2 linked regions of the Caenorhabditis elegans genome follow. The protein of the gene in region 1 interacts with the protein of each later gene in a pairwise test. Each region holds a gene or a part of one and is shown in the gene's direction. Other genes may lie near its edges.

Region 1 (8,206 bases):
TGACGTCACTGAATCGTAGGAAACGGTTCCAGAAGACGCACTGATACAAGTCACAGGATCCGCATGAAAATCGATAACGTGCTGAAAGAAAATCGATTAAATACTAGTTTTTTGGTTGGAAAATTGCGGAAAAATCAATAAATTAAAAAAAAATTCTTACAATAAATCGTTGTGCAAGTTTGATAGGAACAATCGATCCTTCGCTGCTCATTTTGAAAATATTGAAATAATTCAATTTTACGGTTTTTCACTTAAAAACACCACGTCAAAAGTTTTGAATTTTTTTAATCGATAAATCCCCACGTAATTATTTTTAGGAATTTTTACGGGTATTAAAAAATTCTGAGAATGCGTATTACACAGAACATCTGACTCGCAAAATATCTCGAAGCGAAAACTACGGTAGTTCTTTAAATGACTACAGTAGCACTTGTGTCGATTTACGGGCTCGATTTTTGTAATGAATTTATTTATCGATAGAACATTTATTTAAAAAGCAAAAAAATGAGACTATTATCCGATGAAATATTTGAAAACAAATTCATATCGAAAAATTAGTTTTTTTCGATTTTTTGATATGAATTTCTTTTCGAATATTTCTTCGGATAATAGTCTCATTTTTTTGCTTTTTAAAAAAATGTTCTATCGATAAATAAATTCATTACAAAAATCTAGCCCGTAAATCGACACAAGTGCTACTGTAGTCATTTAAAGAACTACCGTAGTTTTCGCTTCGAGATATTTTGCGCGGCAGATGTTCTGTGTAATACGCATTCTCAGAATTTTGTGTTACCGTAATAAATCAATTTTGTAATCCGAGAAAAAATCTCTAAAATAAGATTTAAAAAATGCGCAGAACAATTTAAACAAAAAATAGTTTTTTGCTAAAAAATGTAACTTTTTTTTGCAAATTTGAAAGAAAAATCCTGTAAAATTTGGTGGAAACTCCGAAATAAGTTGAATTTGATGGGCAAACACAAAAACAAAAAATTTCTTCGAAAACTAGCTTTTTTTCTTCAAAATTTTGATTGATCCACATGGAAATCCCCATTTTCCAGGAAATTTTCATTGTATTCGTTCTAACAATTCCCCCAGATTGTGTATGTATTCAAAAGTTCATGGCTGGTGGCACGCTCTGAAAACCAATTTCCGAAAAAATCGGATTTCCGAGTATGTCCTCTCGATCTTTTCAGAACGAGCAGCTGTTTCCAGCTTTCAAAGCACGATGGAGGCGGAGCTTCCATGAAGACTGAGTAATCGAGGATGAGAGTGTGAAGACGCAGAGAAGCGAACTTGTGACCGCGTAGAGCCCTCCTCCATCTTCGGCTTGAGTTTCCCTGCCAGACGGGGACAACTTTAGCACCAATAGAACCCTCCTGGGTCCATTTTTCTTGGTTTTTGGTCGATTTTTAATTAAAAATTGACAGAAATTCTAGATTTTATGTTTAAATTTATTTTTTTTTACTTCCAAAAACTTGATTTGATTAAAAATTGAATTTTCACTGAAAATTGGACTGAAAAGTTGGATAATTTAAAATAAATTGGCTCAAAAACCTCTTTAATTTATTTTTTTTGCCGAAGATGTAATGTTTTATTAGTCTAGAATTTATTATTATCATTTTCCTTCAATTCAAATTTAGATTAGAAATTCAGCTTCAGAAATTTCAGATAATTTATAAATTTTAAGGAAAAAATGTTTTTTTTAATTTACTTTTAAAATAAATACAATTGAAAAAAATTGGAAAATCAAAAAAATCCAATTTTTCAACTAATTTTAATTTTTTTTTAATCTGAAACATCAGATTTTTTAAAAAATAATTAATAAGCTTTCGCAAAATCTCTAAAGTCAGTTTTTTTCGAAATTTTCAATTTTTGTGTGATTTTTCGAAAAATAATTGTGTTAAAATTATTTTTTCTTTAATTTGAACTGTAGTTTTATATTTTCTTCGACCCTTAATTCTCATTTTTAAAATTGTTTTTTTCTTCATGAAAAAATTAAAAATTTTTCAGTTTCAAACACCCCACAAAGTAATGTCAGATAAGCATGGCGAGGAGGACAAGAAAGCAAAAATGCATTTAAAAGCTAATGATTTAGTGAGTTTTTTCCTATTTTTAAAATTTCCAATATTAATTTTTCCTGAAAAAATAAAAAAAATAAATGAAAATTTAAAAAATCAAGATTTTTTGAAATTACAGTAACCCAATTTTTAAAGGCGGAATATCGGAGCATCGTTTATATTCATTTTTGAATAAAAATCAATTTCTTTTTGCAGTTATGTGTCAATGGATGCGGATTCTACGGGACCCCACAGTGGGAGAATCGTTGCTCAAAATGTTGGAGAGCTCATCAGAATGAGATGAAAAAATGTCAGGATTTTGCGAAGAATAGGTAAAAAATTGAAAAAAAATGCCTAAATTCGAATTTTGAATACTTTTTTAAAGAAAAATTCCAAAAAAAAAAACTCTAAAATTAAAAAAAAAATTTCATAATTCCACGAAAATACCTTGAAATATAAGGAAAAAATCTAAAATCTCAGAAAAAACCTGAAATTCCAAGAAAATTCGTGGAAATTTCAGAAAAATATCGTTAAAATAAAAATAAAAAACCCCTGAAATTCCAAGAAAAAATCGCTGAAAATTCGAAAAAAAAATTTTCAAATTTCAGAAAAAAAAAAACCTAATTTTCCGCTCAAATATCCCTTTTTTCCAGATCTCTTCTAAGTTTCGATCAATTCCAAGAGCGGCGTAAATCGACAACAGAAAGCAAGTCACGTGGCATCAAAAATCTGTTTAAAACGTCTCCGATTCCAGGTAAGTGTGGGGATTTTGCTACGTGGCCGTGAAAAGAAAAACTCGGCCACAGATTTTTTTTTTGAAAAAAGTTTTAAAATTTGCTATTTTTCAGAAGGCGGAACCAGTTCACCAACTTCCACGTCACCGGCGAGCACACCAACTCGGTGGGTTTTTAAGAAATTTTATAGTATAAAAAAAAATTTTAGGTGGTTTAAAAAAGTTCTGTTGATTTTTTCAAATTTTAAAGCAAATTATAGACCTTTTCACTGGTTTTCGAGTGATTTTGTAATTTTCAAAGCCAATTTTCAATAATTTCGAGTTTTTTTTAAAACAAAATATTCAGGAAAAGTGATTTTAACCGATTTTCGGGTGATTTTAGATAAAAATTCAGATTTTTTTTTGAGGATTTCAGACAAATTTTCAACAATTTTCTACTATTTTTCCAGTTTTGAGGCCGTTGTCTGCAAAACAAAAACCAATTTTTCCGCGATTTCGAGCATATTTAGGTTATTTTAGACGTAAAAGATGTTTTTGGATTCAAGATTATTAAAGTTTTTTTTTCTAAAATATCTTTTTTTCCGCAATTTTACCAGTTTTTGGACTCTAAAATTTAGGCCAATTTCTGTCAAAAAGTGGGCAAAAAATCTGAGAATTAGTGGTTGTTGTTGTTTTTTGTTTACGATAGAGTTGTTATTCTATATACAGCTGCTGTGTATATATTTATGCATCTCTGCCACTTTTTTCTCTATACGAATAGACGATGAGCTTTAGTCGGACGGGAATAGAGAGTTATTTTTTGTGATTTGATTTGGGAAAAAAAGAGGGAAAAGTCTGAAAATGACTGAAAAATGTTTGAAAAACCCTGGAAATTCATTTTGAAAGGTTTATAAAACATATTCTCGAAATTTAAAAAAATGCTTTAAAAAGTAGAATTTTTCATAAATTTGCAATTTTGAAAAACAGTTTTAAATTATCGGTCAATTTTTGAAAACTGTATAGTTCGAAACAACGTTTGCCTGGGAATTCAAACATGGCTTGATTTTTTTTTTGCAAAATTGAAAAAATATATATGCAATTTGTTCAATTCCTTTTTCAGTCACTACGCTATATTTTCTAGAAGAAAATATATTCTAAGAACATTAATTTCTGAAAAATTTGAGTTCAAAACGAGCAATTTTAGATGTATAATCTCCCCTCTTTCTCTGTCTGCGTGACCGAATACAAAATGAGAAGTGGTGCGTAAGAAGAAGGAGAGAACTACATTCTAAGGGCACTTAGATTTCGATCTTTTGAGACTTTTTTCAGTTGGAAAATGGGGTTTTTAGGGGGATTTTCAATGCAAAAATCAGAGAAAATGCTTTTAGAGCAGTCTGAAAGTGCGGAAATTACCAAAAATTAGCTCAAAACCTAGAGAATATTGCTGAAAATTCAAGTTTCAAACTGAAGTTTTGAATTTTCTAAAGCTTTTCAGAGTTTTTTTGTTCTAAAATTACCTGTAATTTTCATCTAATTTCACTGGAAAATTGACTTTAAAAGTAGAATTTTAGCCTATAATTGAGGTTTCTAGAGCACTAAGTATAGAACAATTTTTCAAAAAATTCGTATTAATATGTACCTGAAATCTCATTTCTAAGATAAAGTTCAATTTTGTAATCAATTTTTTTGAACCTCTTTCTGATCAAAATTGTATAAAAAACCCTAATAGTAAGCATAACTTTTGAATTGACTAAAAAAATTAATTATTATGATTTTTAATATTAAATTTTTAGCTATTTTAACTAGATTTGGAGTCAATTTTTTGTGGAAAAAAATCGATTTTTATAGGACTTTAGGATAAAAAAGTTTTTTATTTCGAATTTTTAAATCAAAACCGAAATACAAACAATTTTCGTATTTGGCAGAACCCAAAAAAAAATCCTAAAACCACTCCAAAATTGGCATTTCTCATTCAAAAAAATTGCACCTTTTTTGAGCAAATTTGACACCAATTTTTTTTTTCGAGTTTTCGGTTTTATTTTGAGAAAAATCGAAAAAAAAAGGAAAAATTTTCTAACAGTGTTTTTCGGTTTCCAGGAAGTAATAAAAAATTCATATCGCCACATAATATTATATCAAAGAACATGTTTGTCTGAAAGAAAAAGTTCAACTTTCTTGTGAATGAATAACTAATTAATCACTGACTCATTTGTCTAACAATTCTGAGAATTCTTTTTCCTTTTTCCATTTCTCGTTGACACGTTCTCCTTGTTTTCGAGAGCAGCTTCTCTCCTAAAGAAGAAAAAAAAGAAAATGTAATTGAGAGGAGCTCGCCGAGCTTGGAAAGACACGGAGAGAGCACACTTTTTGCTTCTGTTCCTGAAAAGTACATGAACTACTTGGTTAGTCATTGTGCTCACCACTCGTGGGACAAAAGAAAAGTGCATATTCAGATGAAATTTGCATGGCATAATAGAGTAGTTTCTATTAATTGAAATTGACAATTTGAAAAAAGAATTCGTTATTTCTGGAATTTGGGAAATTAAAGTAGCTTCAAATAGTAAAAAAATTAGTAAAACTGGGGGAAAATGGCAAATTTTCAAAAAATTTGGACTTTAGAAATTTACAGCATTTCTCAAATCATTAAATACCAATCAGAGGTGGGCGGATATTTTTTCGGATATTTTCTAATAATGAATTTATCAATAAGTATCGATGTAGTTATTCTGGAAGACATGTATCCGAACCAAAGAGTAACTATTAAGCAACATTTAATATGATAATCCCTAGAAAAATTCTACAAGTTTTCCTTACCGAGACCTTAAAACTTATTAGCCGAGCAACATCGGATATCGGATATTACGGATATTACGGATATCGGATAATGGACTTGCATATCGTTTATACAGAAAACTTGTAGAATTTTTCTAGGTTTTATCATATTAAAATGTTGCTTAATAGTTACTCTTTTGTTCGGATACATTTCTTCCAGAATAACTACATCAATACTTATTGATAAATTCATTATTAGAAAATATCCGAAAAAATATCCGCCCACCTCTGATATAAATAGAACCTACTGATATTTTCCAAATGATAAAAAAAATTCTAAGTTCAATAAACGGGTGTTTAACTATCCAAAATAGATATCCCAAATAATCGAAGCAAATAAAAAATACCGAAATTAAATATCAACGGCTTATTTTATTTTTTTGTAATGTATAAATTCATATTCTGTAAAATATAAATCATAAATGTAAATATCTGAAATTTTCAAAAATAATTGTTTGCATAGTCTGAAACAGTATAAAGGATTATGTGAAGTTTTCTAAAAATATTTTTTAGAATCATGAAAAAATGTTCAGAAAATTTGGAAATTATGGGAATTTGTTTGAAACGAAATATTTACTAGAAGCCTCTGAAAATGTCCTTTAAAGTCTGAAATCAGCCTAGATTATTGTTAAAATTCTTGGAATTCTGAAATTTCTGAAAACTTCTCTGAAATCGTTTAAAAAGTAAAAACAAATGTGGTTATACAAATAGTGTCAAAAATTGAAAAGTGTAGAAAAATTATGTCACAACTGTATTAAATAACATACAAACATGTATTTTAATACGGCTGTGACGTCAGAAATGTATTTCAATAATAAAAACCGTTTTTTTTTACATTTAAAAATCAAAAAAATCAAGAAAATTAAATATTTATGAATTCAATACCAAACGACCGAGAAGATCACATGTTTCAAAAATCAAAAACTCAGTCAAAAATAAAAATTTGTTATATTAAAAAAAATAGTTGTTTTAATTTAACCTCTGCGAAATCTTAAATTGTTTTATCAAATTTGTTATATCAAACATTTCAAATTGAATTTCAAAGTAAACCAAATAAAAGTCATTCCAGACGTCGAGAACTCTCCCCGGATTCTCTGGAAGCCCGTCAACAATTCACCGATTTTCTCGTAGCGAATCTCTCAACAGGAATGGCTCAAGAAATTGCTCGTTCAGTGAAAAACGCGGTGAATAAGATCTCAGAAATGAGAATGAGCTCAGATGATATGTCAGAACTTGTAATGAGTTATTATCAATATCTTGGAGAACGAATCGGTGGACATTCGTTATTTGATTCACCGGATTGTAAAGTTAAAGTGGAAGATGTGATGGACCAAGTGGAAAAGTATATATCAACATTTTGTTATTCAATATTCTTTTGTGCAAATCATGAAGAAGAAGTAGCTGATATGTCGTTGCAAGACCGTATTCGATCACTTCACTGGGTTACTGCTGGATTTCTGGAAACTAAGATGGTTTTTAAGAAACAAACGGTTCGAGATAAAATTGATGAAGCTATTTCGGAACTTATTGAGATTAATGCAAAACGATCTGCATTTGAGAAGCTTGATTGTTTGACGAAATCTTGTAAGGCGATTTTTGAGGCGCTTAAGGAGAGTGGTGAGTTTTTATTTTATCTGGAACAGATTTATAAAAATTTTAATGATAAATATCAACAAAAAAAAAACAGAAAAATCGGTTTATTTTTCTGAAAAAAAAAGAAATTATTTTCTATTTAAAAAGTGTATAATTTCCAGTTTTCAGACAACTTTTTTATTCAATTTTTTAAATTTTTCAAATTAAAATTATTTCAAATACATGAAATTTGAAAAAAAAATTTGGAAAAATATATATTTTTTTAACATTTGGAATTTTGACGAAATTTAAGTTTTTTTCTATTTAAATAAATTTTTTTTCAGCATCAAACATAATTTCGTACAAATTTCCTGGACTTTATTGGAATTGGAAAAATTGGAAATTAAATTGGAAAAAAAATTTCAATCAAAAAATTCGCCGAAAAACTTCAAAAATCCGGTTTTTTGTTTTTAAAATGTATTTCCTAACAATAAGTTAGTGGAATTTGAAAAAAAAAGAGTAAAATTTCATCGAAATAGTTTAATAACAGATTTTTAAAAAATTTCTGAACGAATTTTCCGAAAAAAATTCCAAGAAAGCCAAATATTTATGAATTCAATCCCAAAAGACCAAAAAAAAATCACCTGTTTCAAAAATCAAAAATTTTCAGAAGCTTCAACATCGGCTGACGAATTCCTGCCAACACTAATATACGTTTTATTCCGTGGAAATCCGCCGTTAATTCAATCAAATGTCAAATTTATATCAAGATTTGCAATTCCAGCGAGGCTTATGAGTGGAGAAGCTGGTGAATATTTGAATTAAGCATCCAAAATTCTCGAAAAAAAATTTTTATAGAAAAAACTAGATTCTGCAATTTAAAATCTTCAATTTGGCCAATTTTCACTGGTCCAGGCGACCGGAAAATTATTTTTTTTAATTAAAAAAATTATTCCATGTTGAAGATTTTAGGCGAATTTGGCCCTTTTTCAATATTTTCAACCTCCTGAACTTTTTTTTTACATATTTTTGA
Region 2 (4,765 bases), 4.7 Mb from region 1:
AAGAAGAAGATGCTCCCATCGCGGAATCCGATCCTACTTCCTCGTTATCGAAGCATGCGGCAATACGAATTTGTGGGTCATTCTTGAATGACTCTCCAGTTAGAGACTCGAGAAGTCCACTTATCGCAGTGTATGTTCCAACTTGGTTATCAAGACGAGCTCCAGAAATGAATTCATCCTCCATTCCAACAATCGCAGCCTTGTTTGTATCGTAAAGGTAGAGATCCAAATCAACGATGTCTTCTGGCTGACATCCAGCTTCCTTCGCGATTAATCCGAGGAATTGGGGATGATGATTGTTGGTAATGTTTCGTGGATCGGCAAAACCAGTAGACTCGGGTTTCTGTGGTGCATTGATTCCAGCAGCAGCGAAGGTTTCCAGAATCGGGCGGAGCTCAGTTTCCGTGTTTGGTTTGAATGTTGTTCTGAGAAATAAATTGCAAAATTAGGACGATAGTGACAAATTTCAAATACCTGTCGGTCTCCAAATGAATCGCCAAATTTGGAATGAAAAGAACTGGCTTTTTCACGTCGATCAGCTTGTGTTGAAGTTTCTCTCCATTCTTGACAATAACCAATCCAGCCACCGACAAGTCACGGTCAAACCAGGTTCTCCAGATTCCACCTCCGTAAGTTGATACACCAACTTGAAGGAATTTATCAGACTTTTGGTGGGAAATTGGTTTGACACGGAGGCATGGACTGTCAGTGTGTCCCACAACAATCGAGAATCCACTCCCTGGCTTGTAAGATCCTCCAACAGCGAATGCAAGAATTGCAGAGCGGTTCTTGGTGACAAAGTATTTGCTGGTTGGCTGAATGTCCCAGTGACCCGATTCTGGAAGCTCTGTGAAACCGGCTTGTAGAAGGCGATCCTTCACTTCTTGGGTGGCTGCAATTGATATACTTTTGAATATAAAAATAAATAATAAATATTACCATGAAATGGAGTAACTGCTTTATTCAGATAGTTGATGAACTCTTGTGCAGCTTTGCGGATCTCCGGAGCACTTGGTTTCAGAGCAGCGGCCATCTAAATTAAATAAACTTATTTATGAAAAGACAAAGAAAGAATAGTGAAAACCTTTTTGGGTTGATAGCTGGTATTGGGCTCAATTTCATGTTTTGGATAGCAGCCGCACACTACTTTCAATTTTTCGGAAATACGATTTTTTCGAAACGACTTCTTTGTCATGATTCAAACTCAAAATGAATTGAGCCCAATATTTTACTACCATCGGAGTGAAAATGAAAAAAGATAAGACAAAATGTTGCATAAAATTTGAATCTGGAATGATTTTCTATAAGCGATAAACGGTTAGTTTCTACTGGGCGAAAGTTCGAGAGAAGAATATGTGGTGCTGATTATCAAAAATGCGTTATCAGTGATAGTTATCAAGGTTTCTAATAGAAAGAATCAAAAATGAAGGAAAAGATAATGGAGAAGACATGAGAAAAGCGAAAAGATCAGGAATTATTTGAGGAAAGTTAGTGAAAAAAAAATTGACAGGAAAAAAACGTCGGAAAATTTTAGAAATCGAAAAGAAGAAAAGAACAATTTTTAACGTAGAGTAGTACTGTATTCAAGGCGCAACGCTTAAATCATTTTTTGGGTCCTGGAAAGAAAACTACAATAGCTGGAAATGTTCTGAACTTTGAATATAATTATAAATTTTATATATAAAATTTTGTTCATCTTGATTTTTCAGAGCGATATATTGTTTATAAATAGAATGATTTTTACTACAAATTTTTAAATTTTTATGAATAAAAAATAAATTAAACATATAATAACATTTTCATAACTCAACAGAATGAAATATGTTTATTTCACTCCAGAAAACATTTACTTTTCTCTTGGAAGTCGTTTAATGAAATTAATACTAAAACTGCTCGATTATTATGTTTAATGCTCTTTAAATGTGTCACCAAATGGCCTAGGTTTTCAACCTAGTCCTTGCCAACATTGTGATGAGACCTTTTTTATTTAATTAATCAAATGACTCATATATTTTTCGAATAAATCAAGAATTTTCTAGAAAAATGACAGAACCGTCGGCTAGCGAAGAAGTGTCTGCCGGAGTGAATGCAGAGGTAAGAGTGTTGCATTTTAATCGATAATTCAAAGACCCTTAAATTTCAGGAGCCGCCAATACCGTCCAAAAAGATTTCGCAAGTCTCACCGAATCCAACGCTTCAATGCGAAATGTGCCAGAATTATGAAGTGAATTTGACTGCATTACAGGTGAGAATCATGGGAACACGGCAAATATGCAAATGATTTTTGTTTGTTTTGCAGGAAAACGAACGAAAGTTAAAGGAAGAAGTGAAGGCGGCAATGGAGTTGAACGAAAGATATCAATTGGATTTGAGCAATGAACGAGACTATCGAAAAGAATTGGAAAAGAAAATGAACGAATTATCGACTAATTGTTTGAATCAGGTTAACGAGGCGGCAAAGGCAAATGCCAAGTCGGAGCAGCGGCTGGACGAGCTCAGTGCGAAGGTATTTTAAATAAATAAAAAGAATAACTTTTAAAAAAGCTTAATTTCAGCACGACAAATCGATAGAAGTATTCACTGATCAATTGAATTTGGCTCGTGACAAACTGCAACAAGCCGACGATGACTTTGTTACATTAGGAAAAAAGTACAAAAAGCTTCTCGGGTCCACACGAAAATCAGCACAAGAACTTCGGTCCGAGAAAATCGATATGCCAGCTGATCTTGATCAATTACAATTTATTTGTCTCAAGAATAGGGAAGAATTGATAGAAACTCGAGCTGCAAAAGAGCACACCGAGCAGCAGCTGCAGGATGAGATCACCGTCCTGCGAGCTCAGATTCTAGAAGAAAGAGCGCACAGAGAAGATCAGGAAGTGACATTTACTGCAGAGATCAGCAGATTGCAGTCGGAATTAGGAAAGATCAACACTCGAATGGTTGTTGCATCGGAAACAATTGCAGATCAAGATTCGAATATCAGACAAATTAGAGATCTTCAAACAACTGTCGGTGAACTTGAGACGCAGGTTCAGCAGGTTCAAAATGAGAGAGCCGCTGTTGAACAGACGGCACAGAACTACAAGCAACGGTGCACAAGTCTTCAACAAGAACTCGACACATCTGAAGTTGTGCAGAGAGATTTTGTGAAATTATCTCAAAGCCTCCAAATTCAATTGGAGAAGATTCGACAGTCGGAACAAGAAGTACGATGGCAATGGGATGATGATGTAGATCAATGCTCAAATTGTGATACATCGTTTGCTAGAGTTAAAGTTAAACCTCAGTAAGTTTTTGAAAATGGAAGTTTGAATTTCTGATAAAAAATTACAAGAAAATTATTTTCTTCATTTTCAAAAATAAATTTTACACTTTTCCAATTAAAATATGTCAAACAGAAGATTTTAAAAAGAAAAAAAATATATAGTGATTATGAATCAAGCGTTCGGTACCCTTTCTTAAAACGACCTAAAATATTTTTAAAAAAAGGCTTCGAAAAATAAAAAATCACGCATAGTTTTCCAGAAATAGCAGATTTTTATAAGGAAAAATTTTTAAAAAAGTGCGAAAAATAAGAGATAGCACTATTTTACTTTTTCATGGAATATTTCAGTCACTTTTATTTTTCAAATCTTTTAGCTGTCTTCATTGTGGTCGGATATTCTGCATGAACTGCCTGAAAGACACCGTTCCAAGTGGACCAAATCATCGACCAGCCAATGTGTGCAAAGTATGTCACACACTGCTCAATCGGGATACAAAACCATTCTTTGCAACGCAGGATAAGTAATAATTCATCTGGAATGCTTATTCTGTCGCTGATTATCCACAACTCGCCCTTCCAATTTCACTTTCGCCACCTTTTCCCGATTTTATATGTGCATCATCCGTGTGCTAGAATGTCTAGTCTTTTAATTCTTGTACAATGCTTAATCTATTCTATATACGTACATATATACCAGAAATTGATCTAAAATTGTGCATTAAAATTTGTTTTATTGACTTTTATGAAATTAGAATTATTTAATTAGAATCAATGGAAAAGTTTTCGATCACAGTTTCGTCGTTGCTTGATGTCAAGATGCTGATGGATTCCAAATTTCCTGGCTTGTCAATATGCCACGTGGAATCTCCGGTTTTGTCCATAATTTCAGATCTATTCAGAAGCAGGTCAATTGAATTGGAAGTAGTGCAAGTTATGGTCAGGGTACTGTAGTTGACAGAATCGAAAGTGAATAGTCTGGAAAAAATTATAATGAGTAAATTTTTGTATGTTCATAACTTACAGAAATTTTCGATTTCTGCCAAAAAGAGTGAGTCCTGTAGAGTCAATTACTTGGTGGCAGAAGGAGCTTAAAATTTGAGGCTGAAGCTGCACTGTGCTCAGGCGGTAGTGCCAATTTTGATCCATTCCAGTACAGAAGTTGGTGCCAAAGTTTATAGAAGTTAGAGGACGAGTTCGGATGTGTGGAAGAAGTTTGGACCAGAAGCTGGAATTAAATTAAAATTTCAATAAAACTTAAATTGTGGAATTTTTCTGAAAAAAATCCTAATGTAGAATTTTCTAGTTGGAAATAAATTAAATTTCAAAAATTATGTTTTTTATAAATTTATATTTTTATCGGGGTACTGTAGTCTTTTTTTTCTGATTTTTCAATTTTATTTTCAAAAAACCTTACTGAATTCCTTTGCAAATTTGATTTTCCTCAGGAAACTTTTCATAAATCCATCCGGGTGCAAAAAGAGCAACTGACATGTGAAA

What was found.
Region 2: the proteins of rabx-5 (region 1) and rabn-5 interact in a two-hybrid assay, tested with the Caenorhabditis elegans proteins (one study listed by BioGRID).

The regions. Positions count from the first base shown.
Region 1 is NC_003281.10:10,603,339-10,611,544, forward strand, and holds the start of rabx-5 (Rab5 GDP/GTP exchange factor), read left to right. Parts: upstream 1-2,031; coding exon 2,032-2,094; intron 2,095-2,273; coding exon 2,274-2,389; intron 2,390-2,710; coding exon 2,711-2,811; intron 2,812-2,905; coding exon 2,906-2,957; intron 2,958-6,661; coding exon 6,662-7,218; intron 7,219-7,843; coding exon 7,844-7,981; intron 7,982-8,206. Other genes in the region: Y39A1A.2 (Reverse transcriptase domain-containing protein), read right to left, coding at 1-81, 161-211.
Region 2 is NC_003281.10:5,862,514-5,867,278, forward strand, and holds rabn-5 (FYVE-type domain-containing protein), read left to right. Parts: upstream 1-2,039; 5' UTR 2,040-2,043; coding exon 2,044-2,094; intron 2,095-2,143; coding exon 2,144-2,245; intron 2,246-2,299; coding exon 2,300-2,506; intron 2,507-2,555; coding exon 2,556-3,289; intron 3,290-3,642; coding exon 3,643-3,793; 3' UTR 3,794-4,026; downstream 4,027-4,765. Other genes in the region: dnpp-1 (Aspartyl aminopeptidase), read right to left, coding at 1-425, 475-892, 940-1,033, 1,085-1,195; eng-1 (mannosyl-glycoprotein endo-beta-N-acetylglucosaminidase), read right to left, coding at 4,027-4,243, 4,290-4,493, 4,683-4,765.